Linked DNA regions of Saccharomyces cerevisiae S288C. The gene in region 1 interacts genetically with each later gene. Each region holds a gene or a part of one and is shown on either strand. Other genes may lie near its edges. The genes, in order: GUP1, ELO3, BST1 and ARV1.

Region 1 (8,189 bases):
TTGGCTTGGACTGGAGAACAAATTTATCGATCTTGGGTGCAACAGTCTTTCTGTCGTCTGTTTTTTAGCAGATCTAAGGGTTTACCTTCGTGTGCCCGGATGAGGACCGTTGCAAGGATTGATAATACAACTATATACATCATTATCGTAGTGAATTGCACGAGTAACTTCTCGGCATGGGGTGAGTAAATTCATATTATGAAAGTAATTAAACTTACTACCTAAATAAGAGGATATCTATGTCTTATTGCTTGTATATATGAGTGGCTTGGAATGCTGCAAATACTGTTTAGGAAAAAGTAGATAACTAAAAGGTTTCTCCTTCCTTCGGTTGACGCAATTTCTTGTTCGCTGGGGTTGCCATTTCCTTTCTAAGATCAAGTAATAAAGTTTCCATGGTGTAGGCTCTTTTCCAGTCACGTAAGGTGTGGAAGTCAGTTTGGACCTCCCCCGTAGTTGGATTGACGCATGGTAGATTTATCTTGGAAATGAAAGTGACCTTTGGGGGAGAATCTGGATAGTTTGGGCCACAATCTATAGAAAGGGAATAGATTCTGTTTTCATGATTACTATGAGGGGGCCCTAAAATAGTGCCGTTCCATTTGGTCATGGTAATATCGTCGCTATCAGCTAAACCATAACTACATGATTCTGGACCAAACCCTTTTTCACCCTTTTCTAATTCTTCTAACAACCTAAAATTTCTTGGTCTGATTTACAATAGGACAGTGAGGGTACATTTCAAGAATTTGTTAGTATATGTTGAAATCCCTTTCAAAACTTATAATAACATACACTTTTGACATTTTTGTGTAAACGCTGCTTTCTTCTACGTTGCATATACAGAATAAGAATTTCACCACGACATCGAAATGTAATGAGCAGAGATTGTGTAGGAAGTTGATCTTATTTTAGTCTCTTATTTATCGCTAAAGGAGCAATGAAAATTGATAGCGTGTTACCCTAGGAATAATTCCTAACAATTTTTTCCATCTTAAAATCGAGAGGTAATAGTAAATAATGGATGTGAGAGCGGCATTGCAATGTTTCTTCAGTGCATTGAGTGGACGATTCACTGGAAAAAAATTGGGACTAGAGATCTATTCTATCCAGTACAAAATGAGCAATAGTGGTGGGTCCTCTCCTTTCTTGGAAAGCCCTGGAGGTTCGCCCGACGTAGGCAGTACAAATGGACAAAGTAATCGTCAGATTCAGGCGTTACAATTCAAGCTCAATACTCTACAAAATGAGTATGAGATTGAAAAATTGCAGCTACAAAAACAGACGAATATCTTAGAAAAGAAATATAAGGCCACGATTGACGAATTAGAGAAAGCATTGAATGATACAAAATATCTTTATGAAAGCAATGATAAATTGGAGCAAGAGTTAAAGAGTTTGAAAGAAAGATCAGCTAATTCGATGAATGATAAAGACAAATGCATAGAGGAATTGCGAACAACCCTCCAAAACAAAGATTTAGAAATGGAGACTTTAAGGCAGCAGTATGATTCGAAGTTATCAAAGGTCACTAACCAATGTGACCATTTCAAGTTGGAAGCAGAGAGCTCTCATTCGCTACTGATGAAATATGAGAAAGAAATAAAGAGGCAAAGTGTGGATATCAAAGATTTGCAGCATCAAGTGATGGAAAAGGATGATGAATTATCTTCGGTAAAAGCATCTAAGATGATAAACTCACATCCAAACTACTCCACCGAAGAGTTCAACGAGCTCACTGAAATGAACAAAATGATCCAAGACCAAGTTCAGTATACTAAAGAATTGGAACTAGCGAACATGCAACAAGCCAATGAATTGAAAAAACTTAAACAATCCCAGGACACTTCTACTTTTTGGAAATTAGAAAATGAAAAACTACAAAACAAATTAAGTCAATTACACGTACTCGAAAGTCAATATGAAAATCTTCAATTGGAAAACATAGATCTAAAATCGAAATTAACCAAATGGGAAATTTATAATGATAGTGACGATGATGATGATAACAATGTTAACAACAATGATAATAATAATAATAATAAAAATGATAATAATAATGATAATAATAATGATACAAGTAATAACAACAATATTAATAATAACAACAGAACCAAAAATAACATAAGAAATAACCCTGAAGAGATTATCCGGGACTGGAAACTTACCAAAAAGGAATGTTTAATTTTGACAGATATGAATGATAAGTTAAGATTGGACAATAACAATTTAAAGCTACTGAATGATGAAATGGCTTTAGAGAGAAACCAAATACTAGATTTGAACAAGAATTATGAAAACAACATAGTAAATTTGAAAAGATTAAATCACGAGTTAGAACAACAGAAGAGTTTATCTTTCGAAGAATGTCGATTACTGCGCGAACAATTAGATGGCCTATATTCCGCACAAAATAATGCTTTACTAGAGGTCGAAAATAGTGAAACACATGCGTCAAACAAGAACGTAAACGAAGATATGAATAATTTGATCGATACTTATAAAAATAAGACAGAAGATTTAACAAACGAACTAAAGAAGCTAAACGATCAGTTATTATCAAATTCCAATGATGTAGAAACACAAAGAAAAAAGAGGAAGTTGACAAGTGACCAAATTGGTTTAAATTATTCACAGAGGCTCAACGAATTGCAACTGGAAAATGTAAGTGTCTCGAGGGAGTTGAGTAAAGCACAAACTACAATTCAGCTACTACAAGAAAAATTAGAAAAGTTAACTAAACTAAAGGAGAAAAAAATACGTATACTGCAATTACGTGACGGCCCCTTCATAAAAGATCAATTTATCAAGAAAAACAAATTACTTCTTCTAGAAAAGGAAAATGCAGATTTACTTAACGAATTGAAAAAGAATAATCCAGCAGTGGAAACAGTACCCATTTCTGTTTATGATTCACTAAATTTCGAGTTGAAACAGTTCGAACAGGAAGTTTTTAAGTCAAATAAAAGATTTTCCAGACTAAAGCAAGTTTTCAATAATAAATCTTTGGAGTTTATTGACGTTGTAAACTCATTATTAGGTTTTAAATTGGAATTTCAACAAGATAGTCGTGTGAAAATATTTTCCTGTTTCAAACCTGAAAAATATTTGATTGCTGATCTAAATGAAAACACTTTGAAATCTAACCTTGATGCAGATATAGAAGGATGGGATGATCTCATGAATCTATGGGTGGAAGATAGAGGTCAACTTCCGTGCTTTTTGGCAACAATAACATTGCGTCTGTGGGAACAGCGACAAGCCAAATAAGTGTATATACATTTCTAATAGATAATAGTAATCGGTTTTATAATATGATAAACTCCTATCCGCTGACATAATTGTTGGTCACAAAATTCTTTTATCTTTCTTCATCATTGACCTTTTATGATTCCTTTGGTATGCAAAAAAAAAAAAATTGTGTTGAAGAATAAAAACAAATTACAGAATAAGTCACACATGATATAAAAAGAAGCCCAGTTTTTCATAGCTATTAAGGGGGCATAAATGCACTTATATGAGGGAAGGTGATTCTAATTCAAAAAAATCTGCGGATGTTGCTGTCCTCTCCATCATCCTTACGGGTTCGACCTTAACATTGATCTACACATATAAAAGGTATTTAACTCAATTCAAAAGAACAAATGATATACCGCGAAGAATATTTCGTAAACACTGGCTTTATGGTAAAGTCACGTCTGTAGGTGACGGGGACAACTTTCATTTCTTTCACATGCCAGGTGGTATAAGAGGTGGATGGGGATGGTTACGACCCGTCCCACAAATGATCAAGAATGATTCTACGGCAGAAAAGCTTGTTGGAGATAGCAGAAATATGAGGTTTTTCAATTTCAATTGGATTACGCATGGGAGGTCCACCAAAAGTAAAATACAAAAAGCTAAAAGCCAGTTCTTGAAGCTAAATGTACCTTACAAAAATAGGAAAAACCTGCCAACTATTCCTATAAGATTATGTGGAATCGATGCCCCAGAAAGAGCACATTTCGGTAACCCAGCTCAACCGTTTGGTAATGAAGCTTTAATTTGGTTACAAAACCGAATTTTGGGAAAGAAAGTATGGGTCAAGCCTTTATCTATAGATCAGTACAACCGTTGTGTAGCTCGAGTGTCATACTGGGACTGGTTTGGTGGGTGGAAAGACTTAAGCTTAGAAATGCTCAAGGATGGATTAGCGGTTGTTTATGAGGGTAAAGTAAACACAGAATTTGATGATAGAGAAGATAAGTATCGATATTATGAATTTTTGGCAAGATCTAGAAAAAAGGGACTGTGGATCCAGAATAAATTTGAAACGCCTGGTGAATATAAAAAACGTATTTGAGTTTTCGAGAGGATTTTTATCCATCATACTGCAGATTTTCATATTATATGTTCATTAGCTTTTCACGCTTCCTCTCGATATTTTTTTATTTATTTTCGGTTTCATTTTTGTACTAGTAGATAAAAATACATACATGATAGCAGTGTTATACAATTGATATTCGTAAATTTGGCATTCAGCATTTTAGGTAAATTCCGTGCCTCTTTTCTTCTTCTCTGATTTCAAACATTATTTGTACTGCGATGAATAAACTAACGCTTGCCAAAATTACAAATTTGAAACCAGATACGGTACAGAACATATCGCTTAGTAATTTTTTAGTACCGTCAGAGCCCAAGCAGAATCCAAAAAGATTAGCGATCATCATAACCCATATGTTGAAAACAGCACCGACAGCGCAAACGTGTCTGTACCAGACTGCGTCGGTATAATGAGAGAAAATTTGGGTAGCAAAAATTTCTGGTAAGAGGAACAAAACTATTAGCCAACCCCATAATAATAACTTTAGTTCGATGTCATGCCATATAGCTACGAAGGAAAAGACTGCTAGTGATGTCAAAACTCTATTTTTTGAACCACCTAGAGGAATATATATGTAACGGACAACCCACTTATTGTAGCTTCTATGCCAAGCTCTCCAGAATGCTAGTGAACTGTAATTGTTATCAACACACCTGATCATATTTTCAGGTGTATCGATTCCGTCTAGCAAAGCCCACAGCCTAAACAGCCTCCACGGAATCAGTAGTTTTAGCCAAATAATATTCAAATTAAATAAGCCAATCATGGAAATCTGGAAAGGTGTGTCATTTTCCCACGCTTTGGTTTTTGAGATTGCCACAACGTGGAGAAAGTGTAAAATGAACTCCATAGATAAGAGAGCAATAACGAATCTCACCGCATAGTAAAAAATGAATTTGAAATTTATTGATGGCAAGGTATGTTTCGATTGGTAAACATAATCATTGAATGTTATAATGGGGCCGGCAATGAAAAGTGGCGTGTAAGTAACATATGCAATATAATTCATTAAGCTGTAGTCCTGTATGGGGTGTGCAGCAGTTAATCTAGCACGTTCATTGAGCAAAATGGCTGATTTAGCTTCTTTTGATTCATAGGATGGACTTTTCTTCTTTTGTAAATTCTCCCACCTCTCTAAGAAGTCCAAGTTGTAACTTAAGACTCTCAAAAGAGTAAAATTGAAAAAGACATCCCATCTTGGAATGATACCTCTATACCAATGGTCCAATGGGCTTAAAAAAGAGCAAATATTACCAAATGGATATGCTCTGAAGTTGTCGTTAATAAAAAGCGTAGAAATACCATAAATCCAAATGCTGATGGTGGCTATTCTTCTAAAGTTCTTTAGTACATGGGCGATGGCATATAAAATTAGCATATGGGCTAAAATTCTTATCGAATTGACACCATGAGCGGCCACTAAAAAGATCAAACCAAATATCAGATCAAACCTCAATTTAGTGATATTTGTTGAATAAAGTACAATGCGTTTTATAGAAGTGTGGACTAGCATTAAAACTGACAATAGCGCAAAATTGTCCCTGAAAAACCTATATTGAGAATCACTATTGTCTACTTTTCTGCCAAATAACCAACCTTGAGATAGGAGACGTTCGTATCTTGCATAGTTTGGATTTTCGGGCGAACTAGCTTGTAACCCAGCATAGAACATCAAGGGAACCACGACCAGAAATGCAATGTAGTAGAATTTGAACTCAGTAGTTTTCCATAGTGATGGCTTAGTGGTAGTAGAGGCATCCTTTTTTGGTGAAGGTTTGATTCTTGAATCTAAGCCCTCGGAAGTAATTAGGGGAGACAGGATGCTGATCAGCGACATTTCTTGCAATTGTCTGTTAACAAATGCTGATTCACGCTTTGTTTTTGCCTTTGTATGATTAACATCTATATATCGAAAGCAATATGCTAAGTTATTATTCTTACCCTTTCAGTGTCCTTTTTGGCACACCCACTAAACATAAAGAGAAATACGTGAACACCTATACACCCTATATTATTTTGATTGTTCAACATTGCTTGATTCATCATCCATTCTCCAGCTCTCGAATCTTGTTTCTGGCTTTTCCAAGATTATGTGAAAATTAACTTACTCTTTTTGGTCGATAAATAATTACAAGTTCAAGTGCATGTCTAATTGGAAACTTATTTTTATGTCCGATTGAGCTGATGTTCAGCTAGTTTATGTTTATACAAGAAAAATGCTCACCCGTACATATGCTCCTTCTTCACTCATTTTCTTGTCCTGTTGTTGAGACATTCAACTTTGATCCTGCTCTTGTACTTTTATGATTCATTACTTATATATTGGTCTTCATTATTCTCGAGATGAAATTCTCAGGGTCTTTTAAAAAAAAAGTTTCAGTAGGAAAACTAAACGTAATTAAACTATTCTTCGGTTCGAACCTGAAGTTGCGTGAAAAAAAGGGTACTGCAGTCTTGAAAAAATAGAAGCCAAAAAGAAGTTAATATCAAAACAAATAAATCTTGCACATATTAAAGCGCACAAAAGTATTCAAAACAGTGTAACTTCGAATATCGTATCATTAAGGAAAATAGGACACACTTTGATTGAGCAGGGATGATGTTTTGGTCCTCAAAGACGGGTATCACGTCAAAATATTCATTTTCATCATCACCTACTTTCACAGCTGAACCATGGAGCATTTACACCGGTCGTCCCAAATCTTCATCTTCATCTTCACCTTCCAAAGTATCGATATTCATGTTTGACAAGAAGCAGTTCGAAAACTATTTGTTACACTATGGTATTATTAAATCCAAATCTGGATCCAGAGATAAAGTATTAATACAAGAAGCGTACGAAATATTAAGAAACCAGGCCAATAACTTGGCCAAGCTCAAGCACCCAAATATTCTGACTTTAATTGAACCATTAGAAGAACATAGCAAGAATTTCATGTTCGTCACCGAGTTTGTCACTAGCTCATTGGAGACCGTTTTCAGAGAAACCGATGATGAAGAGCAGAATTTCTTACAAGGTCATGTTAAAGATAATATCGTGGTACAGCGAGGTATATTGCAACTGGTAAATGCACTCGATTTTGTTCATAACCGCGCAAGCTTTGTACACTTGAACATTCAACCTAGGGCAATATTTATCAATGAAAATTCTGATTGGAAAATTTCCGGCTTAGGCTATTTAGTAAAAATACCACCAGGCACAAATACCTCTGAATACTTCTTACCTCAATATGATCCCAGAGTTCCCCCATTTATGCATTTACAATTGAATTATACGGCCCCAGAAATTGTTTTTGAGAATACCCTAACCTTTAAGAACGATTATTTTTCTTTAGGATTGTTGATATATTTTCTGTACACTGGTAAAGACTTGTTTCGCAGCGAAAATTCGACTAGTGAATATAAATTGGAGTACAACAAGTTTGAAAGCAAAATTAGTACAATGTCATGGGATAATATATTCAGTAAGGTTCCACAAAAGTTGAGGCATTGTATACCCAAGCTAATAAACAGAGACATCTATTCCAGATATGATAACATAACGTTGATTTTAGATTCTGAGTTTTTCCAAGATCCGTTAGTCAAAACCTTGAATTTTTTAGACGATTTACCTACCAAAAATAACGAAGAAAAATACGTATTCTTAGAGGGTCTCGTGAATCTGCTGCCAGAGTTTCCGCCAGCATTATTGCAAAAGAAGTTCTTGCCCATTTTATTGGAACTATTAAGTCAGTTTTGTGCTGAGAAGGTCGTAAGTGATAAATGTGTGGGTAAAAGTTTGGATTTGATAATCAAGATAGGGTCCACTTTATCTCAGTTGTCCTTT
Region 2 (7,138 bases), on another chromosome or scaffold:
AATGGGTGCCCGCATATATGCTTACCAGAGACAGGTCACGCTACTTGGGCCATTTTCTGGGTGTAGACAAGATGCTGGAGGCAGTAAAATGCAAGTACTGCGGTGTGATAATAAGACGGCAAGGAAACAGCATAAGCATGGCGGAAGCCTCGCAAACTCATTTGTGGAGCACGCATAAGATAGACCCGAATGCCAATTACTATAGCGGATGGACGGGCGTAGAAGCAGGTTCTACTTTTATGGTCAGACCACCTTTGAAGAACCATCAAGGCGGTAGCGCCACAACGAACAGCATTGCTAACCTGCTGGAAATAGACGAGGACTTTTTGAAGAGAACTAGGGAAAAAGAAATGGCCTTGCCTCTTGTGCAGTCGCTTGCGATCATAATTGCATCAGAAAACTTGCCTCTGTCGTTCGTAGACAACACTGCCGTACGCCTTTTGATCAATCAGAACGCCAACTCACTAAGCTTCATTGACCATGACTTAATTCTGAATGCTATCAGGTCCATCGCATATAATCTCGATAGAATCATTCAAAGGACAGCTTTGCGAAACAATTCCGATTTGTCGTTGATTATCGACAAAAACTACTTACTAATGGACCCAACCGATAGATCTAATCAGTTATCAAACAGGTTGAAGAACCAATTATTTGAAATGCAAAAAATCAATTTTTTCTCTCTAAGCCACTCCGTTTGGAATAACACGATATCTATATTGAGTATTCAGTACTATGATGATTTTCATTCCCAAGTAAAGACTTTACCCCTTATCATCCAAAACTTACATGAATATAACAATGACCCCAAACTATCTATTCCAGCTCAACTGCTCAAAATCTCACAAGAATTACCTGGTTTACAAAATACTGTGATTTCTATCACTCTACCAAGATCTCAAATAGTAGATCTACTAAACGTAATGGATAGCCAACCCTTTTTCCCGAATACGTATACGAATGCTAAAAACTATTATCACAATTGCATTATTTCCATAATAAATTCTGCGATATTGCCATTGTTCGGTACGCCTAAATCCGCCGATATTACGCATCCGAGACAATCATCATTCTCCAAAGAACCTTTGACTTTATTGGACTCTCTAATTGATTTGTCAAATATAGATATTTCGAATTCCATTTTTTCCAGAATCAATTCTTTTTTGGATGATTTACAATCTAATTCGTGGCAGTTAGATAAATTCCGTTCATTGTGTGAAAAATTTGGCTTCGAATTCGTTTGTTCGAAATTCGATTTATCCCGTTACTCTACCGCCACCGTTTCACTGCAAACTTTTTTGAACCTTCGTCCCATAATAGAAGAATATCAATCTTCTATCCAAATTGAAAAATTCAACGAAATCGACTTTCAAATAATAGACTATTTATTAATTACTTTGAATTCCATCAATAGAATACTAAAGTTCTTTACTTCTTCCAAAAGCTTAAACTTTACCTATGTTTTGTTCGCCATAATGTCTATTGAAAAGCATCTGTTGTCCACCTTGGGCAGCCTACAATTTCAACGGTTAATTGCACCATTTGAAACATTTTTGTCTAAAATTCAAGAATTCAAAACCATTTTATTTTCAGACGATATGAACCTTTTAGCAATGTTCTTGTGTCCTGCGATTTTATTCGAAAGAGAAGTCCTGGAATATTCTTTTCATACCATTTCACTTTCTGAAATAGTCGACAAACTTTCTACATCAATTTTCAGTTTATTGAAAAGGTTTTTGAATTTACACACAATAGGCAACGTTAACAACAGTCATAATACTTCCAATCATAGCAACATGAACATTCACACTGATAATCAGACGAACAACATCAACAATAGAAGCGGCAACAACAGCGACAATAATGATAACGAACATGATAACGACAACGACAACCACTCGAATTCAAATACGCCCGCATCAAGAATAGATATAGATCCTACTGGTGGAGAAAATTCTGTATTACCGGAACAACAACCACAGAATAGCAATAATAACCTATCATTTGGTTCTCTTAGCGATACCCATCATTTATCGGACTCTACCATATCAAAGGAAATAGATAGTATCTTTTTACAAATCATTCAAGAGGACTTATATGATTACTTGAGTACAGTAAACTCCATCGTACCCATATCTTACAGGTCGTATTGTGAACAAAGCAATTTCATTAGAGATAGTGGCCGTTTCAAGAAGAGAATAATAACAGAGGACTCTATTATTGGAGAGCTAGAACAACCAATGAACTTCATTGAAGAGTTACTTGATATCCATGTTCCTGTGTGTAACGCGTTCTGGTCCCAATACTTAGATAATGATGCTGGGCCGATAATTAGAATTTTGTTCAAGATAATGCAATGTCAGTCATCTTCCTCCATTAGGGGAGAGTACTCATTTTTAAATGACTTCATTCCCAGAGTACATCCCGATTTAACTCAAGAGATTATTAAAATTAAATTATTCAATGATCAATTCGTGGCAAGTAAAGTGGATTACGACTTGGACACTTTACAAACTGCAAGTCAGTATCTTCCATAGGACATACAAAGGAACAAAGTCTGTTTGTTTTAAATTTTAGCTGCTATATAATTTTATTTTATAATTGTAATGTATCACTACTCCTCACTGTAAGCGTGCAATTCTTTGGGCAGCTAAGGAAATGATTAATCAAAATGGGAAAAACACCAAGCCAATAATCTATCATTTCTATAATAATGATTTCATTTATCGTACATATTTAATATAAAGAAAATGTTAACATTTAATTTTTTTCTTTTTCATTCGCTGTCAAAAATTCTCGCTTCCTATTTAAGCTTTCCTGGAAGAGACCTTGGTGTTAGAGGTCTTGACACCAGTAGAAGAACCGGATGCAACGGAGCCGGAAACTTCAGATTCCTTCTTGACTGTCTTTTTACCACCTTTCTTGTAAGATTGGATGTAGAAGGAAATAAACAAAAGCAAATAAGATGTTAGAATCAAATACCCATAAGCAGCAGCAGCCTGAGTACCATAACAAGTACCCTTGTTTGGTAAAATACCGTCCAAGTATTTGTGAGCATAGAATGTATAGGTAGCAAAGTAAACAAATACCAAGTCAATCAAAAATTGAATAATTTGGAATCTAGTGACCCATTGCTTCCACCAAACTCTAATACCACATGAACTCAAGAAGTAGTACCAGTACATGATAACGTGAACACCCAAGTTTAGTAGGATAACTACCCATTCAACAGAAGTACGACCAATTAATTGAGTGTAGCACAACAAAGCGGTGGCACCGTGATGGTAAGTGTGCAAAAACAATAACTTCTTTCTTCTCAAAACTAAAAACACAGTGTCAATCAATTCTACGAATTTGGTCAAATAGTTCAAATAGTAAAGAGTAACTAATTTTGGTGCGAAGGCTTCCTTAGAGCAGATAGACCAGAATAGACCGTTGTGATAAACCATAGGAACCAACTGTTCTAACATCAGCAACCATAAAACTAGAGAAATAGAAGTCAAAAACAAGTTGTGTATCTCGAAAAGCAATTTAAACTTTAATGGAGAGGCGTTCAAGGCGCGTAAGATAGCTTGGCCACCAAAGATAATAATGTAATAAACGATAATAATACTAACAGCATGATACCCGTTAGCCAAGAAAGTCTTATTGTGAATAAACTCGAATTGCTCAGCTGGATAGCCACTAAAGTATTCAAACACTTTGGAGAAAATTGGCCATAATTCAATACCGAATGGGTTCTCAATGGAAGGAACATGAACCTTCAAGAAACATGAAGAAGAAGAGTTCAAAGACTGGAACTGGTCGGCAACTGCTGCTATAACAGTAGATGTGGTAGTGTTCATGACTGTTTATGTTTCGTAAACAAACGGAAAAAAGCCGAATAAATAAACTAGAAGTAAGCTTGAAGCGAGTGAAGAGCTGTCAAAAACCAATCAATGACCAAATAAAAAGACACCAGATATGCGGAAAATACACAGTACCTAACTGGGGTAATAAGTTAAATAAAACTTCAAACAAGGCTAAACAACAAACAGAAGACTCCAGATAAATATTTTATACAATTATTTACTAAGAACCTGTGAAAAAAAAAAAAGACAAGCCAAATGCGTAAGCCAACCTTTTGTTTATTCACAGTCTGGAAAATTTTCTGAAAATTTTTCACTTTGTGGACGGAATAAAAACTTCGAAGCTTTGGGAAGAAAAATTTCGCGTTTTTTTTTCTCGCGTCATCAATCATTTGCATACAAATCCCTCTGACGGTGAATTATCATTATTATATTATAAAATTATTATTTATGTCGTTTTCCACTATTGTCATCAATGTTTATTATTCATAATTCTGCTCCTTTTACAACTTTAGTTATGCTTTTTATTCTAAAGAAAATAAGGAAAGTCTATATACGTTGCTATCTTAACCCCAGAAATCTAACGACGCAACTGTATCATACCCGCGATAATCCTCGTAGCAGTACAGGATTTCTTGAGTACTTGTTTGTAGAAGTCGAATCTTATCAGCAAGGACGCAACGAATTAATTCGCCAGTTTCAATCTTTCTGATCTCAATGAAGTTGCTGTCGAATGCCAAGATGTACGGGTACCAAATTGCAAATTTTTGGGGCTCTCCCTCCCAATGAATAATATGCGATTCTTTCTTTCTCCAACCCTGATTATTGACAAAGAAGGCAAATTCTGTGTAACACAGCAAAAACATATTTCCCACACGATAGATTGCCATTGGTTTCAAAGTATCCCTTAGTGCAAACTCTAATGATGTATCGGCCGGATCTAACAAGGATTCATGAGCATTCTGTGAAATGCTAACGATCTGAAAACCCTTTTTACAGCCAATGCATAGGTTGGCCTTGAGAAATGAAATAGAGACAGGTTCAGAATCAAAAATAACCTCGGTGATTTTTTTCTTGAGACTTTTTTTGTTACCGCTACCACTACCATTTTTTTCGGCCAATAATGGATGTTCATGCTCGAAGTACTTAATTGAATGCGATGAACTGTGTGCAGTCACGATTAATCTCTTACCATTGCAATCTCCTTCTGCGAAGAAACTCACATGATTGATCAGTTCCTTGTGATGCTTTTTGAAGAAAGATGTCCCATTACCTTCTGCTTCGATTAATGACAGCGGACAACTGTATAATTTTTTATCAATTAAAAGTATGATTGATTTGAATTCTTCTAATACAGCAATTTGAGTGATATTATTTCTTTGTACTAGTTGGATTGGAGTTGAAAAAAAAGCAGAGCTTTTATGTCTATGATCTTTATTCTGCTGTCTTTTAATGTTGCTCATATACAATCCAGAGTTCGTTGCAATCAGAAGTTTTCTACCCCCATCACAGGAAGTAACACTGTTAATTTTGTTGGTGTAATCGAAGAACCTATCGCTCATTTTCGTTACATTGAACATCTCCGTTTTGCTTATAATAGCTGCTTGTCCTTGCTTTATTTTTTCCAAAAGCGTTTGCAATCCAGCGTATTGCGCAGCATATAATGTAACTTGATATCTCTGCTTGGCACCGTAGTATAAGAAAGTTATTGCGTTTTTAGGATTACTCGTGTTGTATTCTGGTTGAATTACAGTTCCTGAACAATCTGGGTGGTCTCCAATATATTTCCTCAACGCAGGCATATCTTCACCTGGACATGCAAATAACAATGGCAATGGAATGGGCCTTTGGAATACCTTATGCTGGTGCCATTTATTAACTGCTTTGGCCTTTAAAAATAAGAGCATATTATCTAGAAGATAAAATTGTATGTCACCAACAACTGTTCCGTCCGATTTTGACAACTCCTTCCGTGATAGTATACCTTCATGTTTAATTTTTCTCCTTTCGTCATTTAATCCTAAATTAACGTATTCGTTTTTGAAAAGAATCTTTTGTTTCAACAATTTTACATCATGTCTATCTTGTGCAGCACCACTTGCTTGATCAATCCTTTTCATAAAATCCCTTAATGCATCCATGGCTTTGCTTAAATCTTCATAATCACTTTTGTCCTTCTCGGGGTCAGTAGATTTCATGATTTCTTTGACCAATAGCATATATCGACCTGGTCTTGAAACACCTTGAGATAAAAACGAATCAATACCATGACGTAAGGAGGAGCTCATCATATCGTCATCAAATCTAGCAAAATAGGGATTGACTGATCTTTGGGTTTCAATCAAGTACTTCGCATATGGTCTTGAAGCGACATATGAAACAAATGGTTCAAAAAATGGAATGAATCTTAAAACAATGTCCCCAATTCCTCTCACAACTGGTGAACTTCTTTGCCTATCAGTTAAAGCCTTCAAAAAACGTCTATTCACTGAATAGATATCGTTTATATGTGCAAAAACATGCTTGATGAAATTTTTTCTAATATCTGCTGAAATAATATTTGTTTCAGCCAAAGTCTTCATGAATGTGTCTCTTGTAATTTCTAATGATTTTACAAAGTTCTTCTCCGTGATATAAACTTCATAAATAGCCTCTTGTCTTTTTATTTCCTTTTTTGGTAAGTTTTCCCAATCCTCTTTAGATACGGAACTTGTCCAAGATGGCTTTTCTTCGTCATCATCATCCAATGCCATTGATATATTACGTTTCAGGCCGCCATTTGGTTTCAGATTTAACCTTGCTTGTTGCTCAAGACGTCTTGGACACGAAATAGAGTAACACAAAGCGTCTCTTGTGCACGTAGGGGAATAGCATTCCGCCAGTAATGTAAACACACCATTGACGTTATGAATGGCTGCAGGGTTCTTTTGCTGGGACAATGAACTACTCATATGTAGCCTCGACCCTGTCAAAGTTGCCTGATCACTATTCAAAGATGAAGTTGAACTTGATGGAACCATTCCGGAATTCGGATAAGAGTGGTTCCCGGAATTAAAAGATGATGAGTTTGGGAGTAGCATCAGTGGATCATGGGCGTTTGTGGAACCTGTTCCTGTAAATCTTGAGTTATCTGTAAATTCGTAAACTTCATGTGGTGAATCTCTTAACCTGTGCTCGTATACCACATCATGGAACAGCTTTTGTGCATCTAGTGATCTACCAAATAACAAGGCTAAGTTTCTATCAGAAGTTCTAATGATAGCACAGATGACATCGACTGCCTGCTGCCC
Region 3 (9,328 bases), on another chromosome or scaffold:
TGAGCTGCTATAATAAAATAAACGCTATCTATTTTTGACTCCTCTTTTTGCCACCCTCGCCTTCCTTTTGTCCATATTCTCACATTGTACGGCAACTGCGGACTTCAGGTCAACATAAATAAAAATTGCACACGATAGGGTAACATTATAGTCACGTGCTTATAAAAACATTGTAATAACATTAGCAAATAACGATAATAACGATGCCGACACCTTCAAACGCTATAGAGATCAATGACGGTTCGCATAAATCTGGTAGAAGCACTAGGCGGTCTGGATCTAGGAGTGCGCACGATGACGGTCTAGATTCATTCTCAAAAGGCGATTCAGGTGCTGGAGCCAGTGCTGGTAGCAGTAATAGTCGATTTAGACATCGAAAAATATCTGTGAAGCAACATCTTAAGATATATCTGCCTAACGATCTGAAACACCTGGATAAAGATGAATTGCAACAGAGAGAGGTGGTTGAGATCGAAACTGGTGTAGAAAAAAATGAAGAAAAGGAGGTCCATTTGCATCGAATATTACAAATGGGTTCTGGTCATACAAAGCACAAAGACTATATTCCGACCCCGGATGCTTCTATGACTTGGAATGAATATGATAAGTTTTATACGGGCAGTTTCCAGGAGACCACCAGCTACATCAAATTTTCTGCCACTGTGGAGGATTGCTGTGGTACCAACTACAATATGGATGAAAGAGATGAGACCTTTTTAAATGAACAAGTCAACAAAGGTTCATCAGACATTTTAACTGAAGACGAATTTGAAATACTTTGTTCCAGTTTTGAACATGCTATTCACGAGCGTCAACCATTCTTGAGTATGGATCCGGAAAGTATACTTTCTTTTGAAGAATTGAAGCCCACATTAATAAAATCAGATATGGCTGATTTCAATCTAAGAAACCAGCTGAATCATGAAATAAATTCTCATAAAACACATTTTATCACACAATTCGACCCCGTATCTCAAATGAATACGAGACCTTTAATTCAGCTGATAGAGAAGTTCGGCTCTAAAATTTATGATTATTGGAGAGAAAGAAAAATTGAAGTTAACGGGTACGAAATTTTTCCGCAGCTGAAATTTGAAAGGCCGGGTGAAAAAGAAGAGATTGATCCCTACGTCTGTTTCAGAAGAAGAGAAGTGAGACATCCGCGGAAAACAAGACGTATAGATATCTTAAACAGTCAGCGTTTAAGGGCGTTGCATCAAGAATTGAAAAACGCGAAGGACTTGGCCCTGCTTGTTGCTAAACGTGAGAACGTTTCCCTAAATTGGATTAATGATGAATTAAAAATATTCGATCAAAGGGTAAAAATTAAGAATTTGAAAAGATCTTTGAACATTAGTGGAGAAGACGATGACTTGATTAACCACAAGAGAAAACGCCCCACGATTGTTACGGTCGAACAAAGGGAAGCTGAACTAAGGAAAGCTGAACTTAAGAGAGCAGCTGCTGCAGCAGCGGCAGCGAAGGCAAAGAACAATAAAAGGAATAACCAACTTGAAGACAAATCTTCTAGGCTCACCAAGCAGCAACAGCAGCAACTGTTACAGCAACAACAACAACAACAGCAAAATGCCCTTAAGACTGAAAACGGAAAGCAACTCGCGAATGCATCCTCTTCTTCAACATCACAGCCAATTACGTCTCATGTTTATGTCAAACTACCATCTTCCAAAATTCCTGACATTGTATTGGAAGACGTGGATGCTCTATTGAACAGCAAAGAAAAAAATGCAAGAAAGTTCGTTCAGGAAAAGATGGAGAAACGGAAAATTGAAGACGCAGATGTCTTTTTCAACTTAACGGACGATCCCTTTAATCCTGTATTTGACATGTCGTTGCCTAAAAATTTTTCGACTAGTAATGTTCCCTTTGCATCTATCGCGTCATCCAAGTTTCAGATAGATAGATCTTTTTATTCTTCACATTTACCAGAATACTTGAAGGGGATATCTGATGACATCAGAATATATGATTCAAATGGCCGTTCGAGAAACAAAGATAATTACAACTTGGATACCAAAAGAATCAAAAAAACTGAACTGTACGACCCATTCCAAGAAAATTTGGAAATTCATTCGAGAGAGTATCCAATAAAATTCAGGAAGAGAGTTGGTAGATCTAATATTAAGTATGTTGATCGTATGCCAAATTTTACAACATCGTCGACCAAGTCTGCATGTTCTTTAATGGATTTTGTAGATTTCGATTCAATCGAAAAAGAACAATATTCAAGAGAAGGTAGTAACGATACTGACTCGATTAATGTTTACGATTCCAAATACGACGAATTTGTCAGACTTTACGACAAGTGGAAGTATGATTCTCCACAAAATGAATATGGGATCAAGTTTTCAGATGAACCGGCAAGACTTAACCAGATTTCAAATGATACTCAGGTGATTAGATTCGGAACAATGTTGGGTACGAAGTCCTACGAACAATTAAGGGAAGCCACCATAAAGTATCGTAGGGACTATATCACCAGACTGAAACAAAAGCATATACAACATTTACAACAGCAACAACAACAGCAGCAGCAGCAACAGCAGCAAGCACAACAACAAAAGCAGAAATCACAGAACAATAATTCAAATTCTTCGAACTCCCTAAAAAAATTAAATGATTCGTTAATCAATTCAGAAGCGAAACAGAACTCTTCTATAACCCAGAAAAATTCATCATGAGCAGCACAACTTTGTACCTCTCGAACATCTTTCTACGCATTGGCATTTAACAAACCTGACATTCAAAGTTTACTACGAAAGTCGAGGCAACATTACTGAAGATTCAAATCACCGAAATGAACACCGATAACGCAATAATAATGAAAAAAAACAAAAAACAAAAAAAGATAACTACAATAAATTTCAAAAGAAAAATAGCAAGTATCATCCGGCTGTAATATTATCACCTTCACAAGACTACATATTTTTAACGTTTTTTTTAATTTCCATTTCACACGGTTGTGACCTTTTGATTTTTCGCATGATTTCATCCCAAATGCTTGATGTATTTAAGTTAGATTCATACTCTTATATAGACAATTGCATAACTCACTAGGTACCCTCAAATAAATGCATTTCTTCTTATTATCCATTTTTTTTTCCTGTATGGCGCGAATTTTGAAAAAGGTCTAAATATACCAACCAAGTCATAACAAGAAAAAGTAAAAATGAGTCTCAACACATTCCTTGCAGTTCCATCTGATAGTAAATTCACACTCGAAATACTCCCTCTACTTTAAAGCATTGGCCTATATCTTAGGCTTACCATCATACAAAAATCTTCATTTCGTTATGGGTATCAGGAGATTAGTTAGTGTTATAACGCGGCCCATAATTAATAAAGTTAACTCATCTGGTCAATACTCGAGAGTACTCGCTACGCGTGAAGACCAGGATAAAGCTTCCCCCAAATATATGAACAATGATAAGATAGCAAAAAAACCTTACACATATCGCCTTTTCTCTATTCTTGGCATTTTAAGCATTTGCTCGCTTTTATTGATATCGCTACTGAAACCTTTTAATGGTGCAGATGCTCCTCAGTGTGAATCTATCTATATGTTTCCATCTTACGCAAGGATCGATGGATTTGACGAGAGGTATACACCACTGGCACACAAGTATCATCTTTACTTGTATCGAGAACAAAGCGTAGACCGAGAACCTTTAAATGGTGATGAGTTACAACTTGATGGTATCCCTGTACTTTTTATACCCGGAAATGCAGGTTCTTTTAGGCAATGCAGATCGATTGCTTCCGCTTGCTCCAATATATATTTTGATTCCAATACCAGGGCGACTCTGCGTAACGAAAATGTGCGAAATTTGGACTTCTTTACGGCAGATTTCAATGAAGATTTCACTGCGTTTCATGGTGAAACAATGCTTGATCAAGCTGAATACCTAAATGATGCCATTAAGTACATCTTGTCTCTTTACGAAAGGACCCCTGATTACCCACATCCAAAACCGCAGTCAGTTATTATCGTGGGACATTCCATGGGCGGTATTGTATCCAGGGTCATGCTAACTTTGAAGAACCACGTACCGGGAAGTATAAGCACCATATTGACCTTATCATCACCTCATGCTGCTTCACCAGTAACCTTTGATGGTGACATTTTAAAGCTTTACAAAAATACAAACGAATATTGGAGAAAGCAGTTATCCCAAAACGATTCTTTTTTCTCTAAGAACATTTCATTGGTTTCCATTACAGGCGGTATATTGGATACTACTTTACCTGCAGATTATGCATCTGTAGAAGATTTGGTTAGCTTAGAAAATGGGTTCACCAGCTTCACAACTACTATTCCAGATGTTTGGACTCCAATTGATCATTTAGCCATTGTTTGGTGCAAGCAATTAAGAGAGGTACTAGCGCGCCTTTTATTGGAAAGTATAGATGCCTCCAAACCTGAAAAAGTTAAGCCATTGAATCAGAGATTGCAAATCGCTAGAAAACTATTGCTTTCAGGGTTTGAAGACTACTCATGGATGAATAGTAAGTTAAATTATCCTCAAGAAAACTTACAAGAATTTAGTGACAACTTCTTTTCTGATTACGCTACTTTGGAAATGAACGATGTCCTAGATTTTGAAATGTTTAACCTGGAAAAGTGGCACAACAATTATACAAAAATAAATATTCCGAGTAACATCTCCTCCACTGAACACCTGCATTTCACATTATTAACTAGTCTCGATATGCCTATGATCTATTTCTGTACAGAGTCCAGGGTGAATCTAAGCTGTATAACAGCTGTTGATAGTATTCTAACAGTGCCCAGGTCTTCAAAAGATACTCAGTTCGCAGCTGATTCTTCTTTTGGAGAAGCAAAAAATCCGTTTAAAGCCGTTAGTGTTGGCAAGAATATACTACAGAAGTACGACTACTTGATGATAAGCAAACCCACTTACGGTGAATTTTCAGAACAAGAAGGCATGGAGGACAATCAGGGGTTTCTTTTGGCATTACTGCGCAACGTCTCCAATGTACAAATAGTCAATACTACACCTTCTCAAATATTGCTCTTTGGAGAACAACTACACTTGGATGGCAAAGACATCGAGCAGGTTATAAGTTTCAGTAATTTGTGGGATTCTTTATTATCGTACAAATTAGAAACCAAGATTGAGGCAAGCAACGAAGGTATTGCTTCCGAAGAGACATTGTTTCAGCCTTTCATAAGGCAATGGGTTTACGAACCTTTCGAGTCTAAATGGCATCTAAATATTATAAACAAAAGTCTCGATATAAATATGCATAATGTAGCACCGTTTATCCCATTAAATGAAAGCGAACCGAGATCGCTACAATTAAGTTTTTTTATTCCACCCGGAATGTCCTTAGAAGCTAAAATGACTATTAATTGGTCTTTAACTTTGAAAATGCTGTTTATCAGGTACAGATTAGCACTAGCATCTTTTCCAGTCGCGTTTATAGCACTCGTACTGTCATACCAGTTCTACTGGTACAACAAGACATCTGAGTTTCCTTCCTTTGATAGCACTTTGGGATATATTTTAAGAAAGCACGGAATATTAATGTTTTTTACGCTGTTCTTAGCTTCGCCTGTGGTTAATAATAAGTTGGTACAACGAATACTTTATTTATTGGATCCTGTCGGTTTAAATTATCCATTTCTGCTATCCGAGAGAAACATGCATGCAAATTTTTATTATTTGGGGATCAGAGATTGGTTTATGTCAACTATTGGAATTCTCTTTGGGGTTATGACAGTTGGATTACTAGCACTAGTTTCTAAGATTTTTGGATCCTTGGAAATTTTAGTAATATTCCTTCAACGGAAGTTATCAAAGAAAAACACTGAAGATAAAGAGGCTTTTGATACTATTGAACATAAAGCGTATGGTAAGGGAAGATTAATGGCATCTGTGCTTTTATTACTGTTGGTATTTTTTCACATACCATACCAGATGGCGTTTGTTATCTCATTAGTAATCCAAATTGCTACCTGCATTAGAGTAGCGCTGTTGAAACTATCAAACAACGAGCAGAAATTGAACTTACTAAATTATAATATGACGTTGCTTCTGCTTTTATTATTTGTTAGTGCCATTAACATCCCTATCATTATTGTTTTCCTGCATAATGTTGCCATCAAATGGGAAACTTCATTTAGATCCCATCACAATATACTAGCAGTGGCACCAATTATTTTTTTGGTTGGAAATAATTCTATTTTCAAAATGCCAAACAGCGTACCTTTAGACACGTGGGATGGTAAAGTTACCATCATTTTATTTGTGTACTTAACCGTTTTCAGTTTCATTTATGGAATAAGAAATCTGTACTGGATACACCACTTGGTGAACATAATATGTGCCTGGTTGCTATTTTTCGAAACAATACATTAGAACTACAACCCAGTAAAAAAAGATTAACTGTATATATTGCCTGAGAGTTCTAGATCATGGCAAGAAAAAAGCTTGAACTCGTAAAAGCAAAGGTGGTTTCTACCACTACTTACGAGATGTTTATTATGTAAAGGAGTTTAAATATTATCAAATAAGAAAGATACCATTTTTTTTTATAGAGAATGTGGTGCATCTGATGAGCACCTGAATCTAGTAGTAACCTTATACCGAAGGTCACGAAATTACTTTTTCAAAGCCGTAAATTTTGATCATAAATTATTATTATCTTCAGTCCAGAACTTTCTGGCTTCCTCATCAGCTGCCGTATCGGGAGTGTACATGTCGACGGGTTCAACTTCTCCCTCTTTGTAACTTGCATCAGCAAACGGTCCTATCCTAGTATTTTTTGAACTCGTAGGTGTGGGCAACTGATAAAACTGATTTTTCTCTATATCATCTGCAGTCTCAGAAACAAAAGTTCTTTCCGAATGTTTATCCGATGTTGTTTCCTTCCTTCTAGGATATAGGTCATATAATCTACTTCTGAGACTGCTTTTAGCATCGTTGTTGATACTATCAGTTTGAAAGCTAGACAGCGTGCCTGGATAAAACCTATCTGTGGATGTTGTAAAGTCTGAAGTAATTGTGTTTGTTTTGGATGCATTATTAGCAGCCGTGGCCCACATTGATGATAATGGTAAAGACAATACAGCAAGTAATGTTGCAACAGTAGTCAAGACATCTGTTCCCTGGTTTGGTTTCAAACTGTATGCGAGGATGAATATTATCGATGGAACCAACAAAGATTGACATGACATTATGAGTAAAATATGGAAACTATCGAACTGCTTGAGACCAAGGAATCTTCTTGATCTAATAGCTAAAATCAATTTAACTACCAGGACAAATGACATAAAGTTTATTGAGGATGCAAGTAAAATTGTGGATGCATTGAAGTATTTATCTTGGGTGGCACTAACATCATTATAAGTCACAATCATACCTTTAACAGCGCTTACAAAATACATGGTAACTGTAGCAATCCCTAAAGTGAAAGATATCGACGTCAGCATCAAACCTATCCTTTTGAAGTTGTCGCCTGTGAAAATAACTTTTATCTGAAACACCAGTGAAGTCTCAATAGAAGCCACAAGAAGGACTTGAATTATATTTGTAGCACCATAAACATGAACGTCACCTCTACTGATGAACTGAGGAAATCCGGTGAGAGCGTAAGTCACTGAAGAGTAATTAGACAGTAAATATTTAAAATAGAGTGCAGAATGCAAAATGATTAAAAACAATGAAACTTGGTTGATAATGAAAATCGGCGTTTTTCTGCTTCTCGATGTCATCCACATGACAATCAAAGTCAAAGCAGCTGCACCACATCTGACACCAAACATAATGGCCTGAGTAACAGTACTGTTAACTAAACCTTGCAACTCATCGAAAGTGATGGTAGATCCATTCCCATATATGGAAGTGTAGTTAATGGTGCTTTGACCAGGATTATACGTTGGATCATAAAATAGATTGCTCAATGAAGGAGCCGCATCAGACATTTTTGATTCTTGGATATGGTTCTTAACGGTGCATTTTTAAGTAACCAATTATAATTATAGCCAGAGCAGGTGAAAAGAAAAGGTATCGTATTGCTTTGAAGTCAAATAAGATACTAATAGCACTCCTTAAATAGTATTCCACCCACAGAAAAAAATCTTGAATATGTAGGAAAGCTTTTTTCTTCATATGTGTTTCATCATGTACTTACCCAATTAGGAAATTTACATGGTTGAAAAAACTTCAATCTGCGACTTGCCAGGCACAGGTCCTAAGCAGTATGGACGTTGGCCTGCTTAAATTCTTAGCGGATACTATTGTTTCATTGCAAAGCAGGATACTTCTTCTCGTTTATACTAGCCTGTCTTAATGCACGAGACATTTACCCACAGAGCAAGACGTATATTGACGGATTGCAACACCTATTCGAGCACTACAGCGTGTGACAATGCATTTTGGCAGGCATTGGATAACATATCCGGACTATTCTACAGTTCGTTCTATGCTCTTATCTTGAATCTTTGGTGTATTAAAAAGCTTATTGAGGTTTCATAGCTAAATTTTTCCTTTTTTCTCTCTGGGAAGGGAAGATTATCTTGAATTGGCAAAGTAAAGAAATAAAGAGAAAATTTAGCAAATGACATAGAACAAGCCAATTAACAAAATACGATGCCATTAAGGTCATTATTTCATACTAATCAGAGTAGCCACGACAAAGACGCGTTGACAAGGGGAGGTTATAACGCATATCTGGAATCACTTTCTCGTTGTGACAGTGGAAAGGCAGAAGAACAAAAAGGAAAAGTTATATCAAAGTTATTAGAGAAAAAAGATGTCCGAGCTTTGAGGTACATAGGTTTAGGGCCTCTGGGGTTTGTAAACAACTCATTAAGAAAAGATTGTTGGTATGAATTATTGGCGTCCCAGTTGCTTATTGATGATGCAACAGAGTACATTACACCAGTGGAAAAACATAAAGATGAAGGTCAGGTGATATTGGATGCAGAAAGGTCTTTTGGTGGAATTGTCGACAAAAACTTGAAACTGCAATTGAGAAAACTACTGGTGGAGTTAATTACTCGGGTATTGAGAAAGTACCCAACGTTGAACTATTACCAAGGTTATCATGATATTGTGTCTGTTTTCATCATGTGTTTTAGTTGGAATGTCACAAAAGAGAACGGACTGGAACTAGAAAATCTCTCATTGCAAGAAGAAATTGATATGGAAAGGCTGTTTTATTGCATCGAAGCATTTACCCTATTATATCTGAGGGATTTCATGATGAACTCACTAGATTTTTCATTTGAGCAATTGAGAGTAATCTCTTCATTGATAAAGGAATCAAACATGAAATTCTA
Region 4 (6,997 bases), on another chromosome or scaffold:
ACTTTTTTTATTTAAAAATAAAAATCACAGTTAATTTTTCATGATCTTGCAAAGACACGCCTCCCCCTAATGTGGCATATATAACAATTGTGAATCAGAAAAACTCAACACTTTAACATAATGGCGGGCACGAAGGCTAAACAAACAAGATTAGCATTGAATGCCTTTTTTGGGTACAATAGAACAGTACTGAATGACATCATATATCGAAAGGCTCAAGTCGGCAGCATCGTATCTTGATACAGTTCCAGATGAGCATCATGATTTCAGAAAACCCACCGCCAAGGTTGTAACGACGCAACTGACTATTGCTACTTCACTAGGTATTTTTGCTTTGCTTTCGTTCTCAATTCTACTAAAAAAGTGGCCTAGATTATACGCAAGCAGACGATATAAAGATGACGGGAACCTTCGCTTACCGTCCTGGAATCAGTCAAGTTTATTCGGCTGGTTAACAGTGTTGTATAAGATACGGGACGAACAGATTCTGGAATATGCAGGTTTAGATGCGTATGTGTTTTTGAGTTTTTTCAAAATGTGCATCAAATTACTTTCTATTTTTTGTTTCTTCTCTGTGTGCGTTATATCTCCAGTAAGATATCATTTTACTGGAAAAATTGATGACGGCAACGATGATGATGACAGTGAAAGTTCTTTAATACATCTGGTAAAAAGAATTGTGGAGGGAAGTGGCGATGGTGACAATCATTCAGCTCCCGAACGTACAAATGTGTACCTCTGGATGTATGTTCTCTTCACATATTTCTTCACCTTCATAGCAATTAAAATGGCAGTTGCGGAAACAAAGCACGTCGTAAGTACTAGGCAAGCTTATCTTGGGAAGCAAAATACGATTACTGATAGAACGATAAGGCTCTCAGGCATCCCGATAGAGCTTCGTGATTCGGAAGCCTTAAAGACCAGAATTGAACAATTAAAAATCGGCACCGTTTCATCAATCACTATTTGTCGAGAGTGGGGTCCTTTGAACAAGCTATTTCATTGTCGGAAGAAAATACTCAAAAACCTGGAATTAAAATATTCAGAATGTCCAAGGGAGCTCCGTACTCGACAACCATATTCGGAGAACTATCATTTATTGGGAAACGAGCAATCAGGCGCAGTTACACATGGAGAAAATGTTCCATCAAGCAATAATAATGACGAGGATACTATACTATATTCTCAAATTTCTCTTGGAGAGAGACCAAAAATGAAAATTGGATATCGTGGTATCTTTGGGAAGGAAGTAGATGCCATAGAGTACCTGGAGCAGCAATTAAAATTTATTGATGCTGAAATTATTGAAGCGAGGAAACAACACTACTCCGCAACACCTACGGCATTCGTTACGATGGATTCTGTTGCTAATGCGCAAATGGCAGCTCAGGCGGTATTAGATCCTAGAGTACATTACTTCATAACCAGATTGGCTCCTGCACCTCACGATATCAAGTGGGATCATGTTTGTCTTTCTAGAAAGGACCGGTTAACAAAAGTTTATTCTACTACCGTATTTATAGGCCTTTCAAGTTTGTTTTTAGTCATTCCTGTATCATACTTAGCCACATTGCTAAATTTGAAAACACTTTCGAAATTCTGGCCAAGCGTAGGGCAGCTACTAAAAGATCACCAGTGGGCCGCTAACATTGTAACGGGGCTATTACCAACCTATCTCTTCACATTGCTTAACTTTGGAATCCCCTATTTTTACGAGTATTTGACTTCTTATCAAGGATTGGTATCATACAGCGAAGAGGAAATCTCACTTGTTTCAAAAAATTTCTTTTATATTTTTGTCAACCTTTTCTTAGTTTTCACATTGGCAGGTACAGCATCTAATTACTGGGCGTACCTCAGCGATACCACCAAAATTGCTTATCAACTTGCTACATCTGTGAAGGAGTTCTCCTTATTCTATGTCGATTTGATTATATTGCAAGGTATTGGTATGTTCCCGTTTAAGTTGTTATTAGTTGGTAGTTTGATCGGCTTTCCTCTAGTGAAAATCAAGGCTAAGACACCTAGGCAACGGAATGAACTTTACAATCCACCGATATTTAACTTTGGACTACAATTACCACAGCCAATTCTGATTTTGATTATAACGTTGATCTACAGTGTAATGAGCACGAAAATTTTGACTTCAGGGCTGGCGTACTTTATTATTGGGTTTTACGTCTATAAATATCAATTGATTTTTGCCACAGATCATTTGCCCCATTCTACAGGAAAAGTATGGCCATTAATTTTTAGAAGAATCATCGTTGGATTGCTATTGTTTCAATTAACAATGACAGGAACACTGGCAGGATTCGAAGGAGGATGGGTTTTGTCATCTTGCCTTTTCCCGCTTCCAGTAGTGACATTATGTTTCCTATATGATTTCGAGAAGAACTATTTGCCGTTGTCAAAATATATCGCATTGAGTTCAATTCGCGAGTACGAAAGAGACAATTCTACGGTGAATTCTGCCAATGAGGAAGAGTCGTATGCATACCCTTACGCTGTGAGTGAATTAGAGGGTCCGATGTTGGATTGAAATCCCAAGGTGCTATTTCTATATTTATATATTTTGTTGTGAAAATGCCAAAATAAGATTTTTGATACAAGTAATACTGGATATTTTTTTATTTGCTTATAACAATAAATAAGTTCCTGACTTCTGTAGTAGTAGTATAAACTCCTGATGTATTAAATTCTTAATAACTGAAAAGTTAAACTTTGCCACGAAAACTATAAGTATTGGCTTAACCATGAAATATCGTAATAAAGACACACTTATAAAAATCTTTATGATATTCCAATAGGAAAGATTAGTTACAATCTTCAACGATTCAATAATATAGAGATTAGCTACCCACTTAATGATACTCATCGAAATTAGAGTATCATAAGGCCATATCAACATCAATATCGGAAAAATTTTGGCACCGTACGATAATAAGATCGTATATGATATGACATCCTTTGAAGAAACGGAATAGTGCTTCCAATGCAACTTTTTCAGTATGAAATACTGGGTAAAGGTGTGGAATAAAGAAACGTCAAGAATACAATAACTTGCAAAGTAAAGATATTGTATTGGTGGGCTCCAGGTAAACACTTTACTTGTAATGGTATTGCGCATGATTGCCGAGTCCCATTTGAAGCTCTCTGGTAATTTTTTTGAAAGCATGATGAGCTTACCATCATTATTGTTACGGTTCAAATAGTAGATGTATTTACTCTCCTCAGTAACCCAAGTTAAATAAATCTCGAATGATAATAGTAGAAGCCAAAGGCGATTTAACCGGTCATATTTACAAAACCAGTTCTTTACGTTAAATAACAAAGCTTGCGTATAGTCACGCAAACACTGGCAATCATTTAGCGCTTTTCTTTTCGGATATTTTGAGAGATGCAATTCCAAAGCATTGAATACCAAGTGTCTATATGCACCTGCTTTTAATAGAAGCAAATCAATGAATAACAGGACATTATCTATCTCAACATATTTGTCTACTGTCTCTTGGCAATATGGACAATCTGTCAGCTGAATGTGGTCATTCGAGTACACTGTATAAAGGGAATCTACGGGCCGCATGCACGTTATGCAAATCATCGTTTATCACAGCTAATATCTACTTTTTGATGCGCTTCATCCGTTCACTGACGCACCAAACCTTCCTTCTATGCAATGACAAGAATTTCTCAGCTTGATTTATGCCATTGATGTTTCTGAATCATCAATTGTTCACATAGGGCTATTCAATTTGGCCCGCTGTCCCTAAACTGAAAAAATACTAAGAAAAATTTTGCAAAAAATCTAAAATGATGAGGTGAAAGATCAAAAAAGAAAGATCAATAATTAAGAGGTTGGCAAGTCATCCTGATCGTGAAAAAAACTTAACAAGTACAAATAGAGTAATCAGCATTGGAAAATGTCTCGCGTTGGTGTCATGGTATTAGGACCTGCAGGTGCGGGGAAAAGCACATTTTGTAATTCCATTATATCACATATGCAAACTGTAGGACGAAGAGCTCATATTGTAAATTTAGACCCTGCCGCAGAAGCTACCAAGTATGAATTTACTATTGACATTAGAGATTTAATTTCCTTAGATGATGTCATGGAAGAAATGGATTTGGGCCCCAATGGTGCGCTAATATATTGCTTCGAATATCTTTTGAAAAATCTAGACTGGCTTGACGAAGAGATCGGGGATTTCAACGATGAATATTTAATCTTTGACTGTCCCGGTCAAATTGAACTCTACACGCATATCCCTGTCTTACCGAACATAGTGCGCCATTTAACTCAACAACTGAATTTCAACCTTTGCGCCACATATCTTTTGGAAGCGCCATTTGTGATAGATAGCTCAAAATTTTTTAGCGGTGCACTATCTGCTATGTCTGCGATGATTCTATTGGAACTACCCCATATCAATGTGTTGAGCAAACTAGACTTGATAAAAGGCGACATCAATAAGAAAAAACTGAAAAGATTTTTGAATCCCGATGCAATGTTATTAATGGAAACGGAAGGAATGAATCAAGCATCCAACCCTAAATTTCTAAGACTGAACCAGTGCATAGCCAACCTCGTCGATGATTTCGGTATGGTTCAATTTTTACCTTTGGAATCTAATAATCCTGACAGTATAGAAACCATATTATCGTATGTCGATGATATAACACAATGGGCAGAAGGACAAGAACAGAAAGAGCCTAACGACCAAATAGATGTCGAAGAATAGTTATAGAGAAAATTATGTACGCTTGATTCATATAAAAAGAGGTAAAAAAAAAAAATAGCTTCTCATAATAACCAATTCGGACTCGGGAAAGTACAAGTTCAAGTTTTTTATTGGTTTCTATATGTATAAGATAAAAATACCTAGATCTATTTAATTCTCTGTCTTGGGCCACCTGGTGATTTCTTATTCCTGGCTGTTAGGATTTCAACACCATGTTCGGTAACCAACAGTGTATGTTCAAATTGAGCACTCAGTTTACCGTCTTGGGTGGTAGAAGTCCAGTCATCAGGCCAGGTCATATCCTTCCAAGTACCTTCATTAATCATAGGTTCGATGGTGAAAACCATACCTGGTTTCATAACACCAGGTGTTCTATTCTTGGCGTAGTGGGGAATATTTGGGGAACAATGGAAAAATTCACCAACACCATGTCCACAATAAGTTCTTACTACACTGCACTTATTTTCGGTAGCGTGTTTTTCAATATGATCACCTAACTCTTGGAAGGTGGTACCTGGCTTACACATTTTAATGGCTAGTTTCAAACATTCTCTTGAGGTCTCAGTAGTATTAAGAGCTTCCTTAGAAATGTTTTCGCCGACATAATATGTCTCATTCAAGTCTGCATGATAACCTTGGTAGTATAAGGAAACATCTAAATTGACAATATCACCTTCCTTCAAGACAGTTTTATCGGGCACACCGTGACAAATAACTTCATTGACAGAGGTACAAAGCGATTTAGGAAAGTTGTAATAATTAAGAGGGGAAGGGTAGGCACCTCTCTTAATTGTTTCATTGTGGACGATTTCATCTAATTCATCTGTAGTGATGCCTGGTCTGACATGGGCAGCGGCAATATCAAGAACTTCTCTACCCAACATACATGCCTTTCTAATCTTCTTAATTTGATCTTTCTTGTATATAGGGATGTTGTTAAGTCTATCATTTCTTTGTTCACTGACTGGTAGCCCATTAGCGGCCCAGTCCGGTTTAGGAATATCTTCAGGGACATACCTTCTTGGGGTAAGTGGATATGAAGCCTTCACTTTACCAGAATATTTGAATTTTGGGAAAGGATCATAAGCACCTTCCAAGCCGTCCTTAGCATTGTGCAAAGCTTTGTGAGCTTTGTAGTTGTTTTCATAACAGCTTGTGTCGCAGAAAATGGAAACGATGCCTTGTTTTAGACAAACAGGGCATTTCATTTGGGACGAAGTTTCTCTACCACATTGCAAACCGGAGCAATATATCTTGGTAGGATGAGAAGCCTGATCGGAGGTAGTAACTGTTGTAGTTGCAGTGCTCATTATACAATTTTTTTGCTTATTTTTTTCTTGCTAGGAATATACACAATAGCGTTCTTGGGATGAATAATAATAATATCAGTTTTTCTTCTTTATATGAAAAATGAAAAAAAAAAAAAATAAGTAAAAAATTTTCGCTTTCTTTTCGGGGAGCAGCCAAATAAAGATTGCTGCTAGTTTAAATGAGATGGACCAAAAGCCATGGGCAGCAGTTCTCCCATTGTCATGACTTTAGAACGAGAACCTGTGGAATTAAGCATGACTATTGGAAAGTCCTTGACCACAAATTCATTGATAAACTGCCTGCAAACGCCGCAAGGGGAAACACACTGGTCCTCAGAATCGCCACAAATGACCATGCATTTCCATCCTGAGCGATGGCCTGCCATTAGAACTTGTATCATAGCAGATCGTTCTGCACATATACAATTACTGTAGCTTGCATTCTCGACATTAGCACCAGTGAAGATAACATCGTTATTTGTTAATATGGAACAACCGACACGGAAGTGAGAATAGGGGCTATAGGAGAGTTCACACGCCTTCAGTGCCGCCCTTTTTAAGGCTTCCAGTTGTCTGTCTTCTATGCCACCTACTTTCATTACCTTATTTCTCTGCTTGAGATTCTCTGTTTGGTTTTCCTAGTTTCTTGTACATAAACAGTTTGTGTTTATTTTGTCAAACTACTCGGAAATTGGCGAGCAGCGCCTTATCAAGATTACAGTTTGCAAATATAAAAATGTAAAGGAAAGAAAGCGTAAGGTAACAAGAAGAGAAACGGGGAAGATAATGGCCTTGGTCTCTAGAAGGTCGACAAGATCGGAAAGCACCTCAATAACAAAGGAAGAGCATACAGGAGAAGGTTCATTGACGAAGTTGTTCTTCCGATGGCTTGTTACCTTGGAGGGTGATCAGGATATAAACGATGGAAAAGGTTATATATCGTTA

What was found.
Region 2: mutations in GUP1 (region 1) and ELO3 together harm fitness less than expected from each alone (positive genetic interaction), as found in Saccharomyces cerevisiae (5 studies listed by BioGRID).
Region 3: mutations in GUP1 (region 1) and BST1 together harm fitness less than expected from each alone (positive genetic interaction), as found in Saccharomyces cerevisiae (4 studies listed by BioGRID).
Region 4: mutations in GUP1 (region 1) and ARV1 together harm fitness more than expected from each alone (negative genetic interaction), as found in Saccharomyces cerevisiae (4 studies listed by BioGRID).

What each region holds. Positions count from the first base shown.
Region 1 is NC_001139.9:346,099-354,287, forward strand, and holds GUP1 (O-acyltransferase), read right to left. Parts: upstream 6,201-8,189; coding exon 4,518-6,200; downstream 1-4,517. Other genes in the region: YGL088W (uncharacterized protein), read left to right, coding at 1-103; E2 ubiquitin-conjugating protein MMS2, read right to left, coding at 308-710, 796-806; coiled-coil domain-containing protein MAD1, read left to right, coding at 1,021-3,270; LCL3 (Lcl3p), read left to right, coding at 3,518-4,342; SCY1 (Scy1p), read left to right, coding at 6,960-8,189. UniProt on the Saccharomyces cerevisiae protein: Membrane-bound O-acyltransferase involved in the remodeling of glycosylphosphatidylinositol (GPI) anchors. Acts only on GPI-anchored proteins, but not on free GPI lipids.
Region 2 is NC_001144.5:864,061-871,198, reverse strand, and holds ELO3 (fatty acid elongase ELO3), read right to left. Parts: upstream 3,846-7,138; coding exon 2,808-3,845; downstream 1-2,807. Other genes in the region: VID22 (Vid22p), read left to right, coding at 1-2,537; Rho family guanine nucleotide exchange factor ROM2, read right to left, coding at 4,415-7,138.
Region 3 is NC_001138.5:81,221-90,548, reverse strand, and holds BST1 (Bst1p), read left to right. Parts: upstream 1-3,314; coding exon 3,315-6,404; downstream 6,405-9,328. Other genes in the region: EPL1 (Epl1p), read left to right, coding at 204-2,702; alpha-factor pheromone receptor STE2, read right to left, coding at 6,674-7,969; GTPase-activating protein GYP8, read left to right, coding at 8,637-9,328.
Region 4 is NC_001144.5:620,280-627,276, forward strand, and holds ARV1 (sterol homeostasis protein ARV1), read right to left. Parts: upstream 3,605-6,997; coding exon 2,639-3,604; downstream 1-2,638. Other genes in the region: CSC1 (Csc1p), read left to right, coding at 194-2,542; putative signal sequence-binding GTPase GPN3, read left to right, coding at 3,924-4,742; methionine aminopeptidase MAP1, read right to left, coding at 4,889-6,052; CDD1 (cytidine deaminase), read right to left, coding at 6,223-6,651; palmitoyltransferase ERF2, read left to right, coding at 6,839-6,997. UniProt on the Saccharomyces cerevisiae protein: Mediator of sterol homeostasis involved in sterol uptake, trafficking and distribution into membranes. Also regulates the sphingolipid metabolism. Required for growth during anaerobiosis and sterol uptake.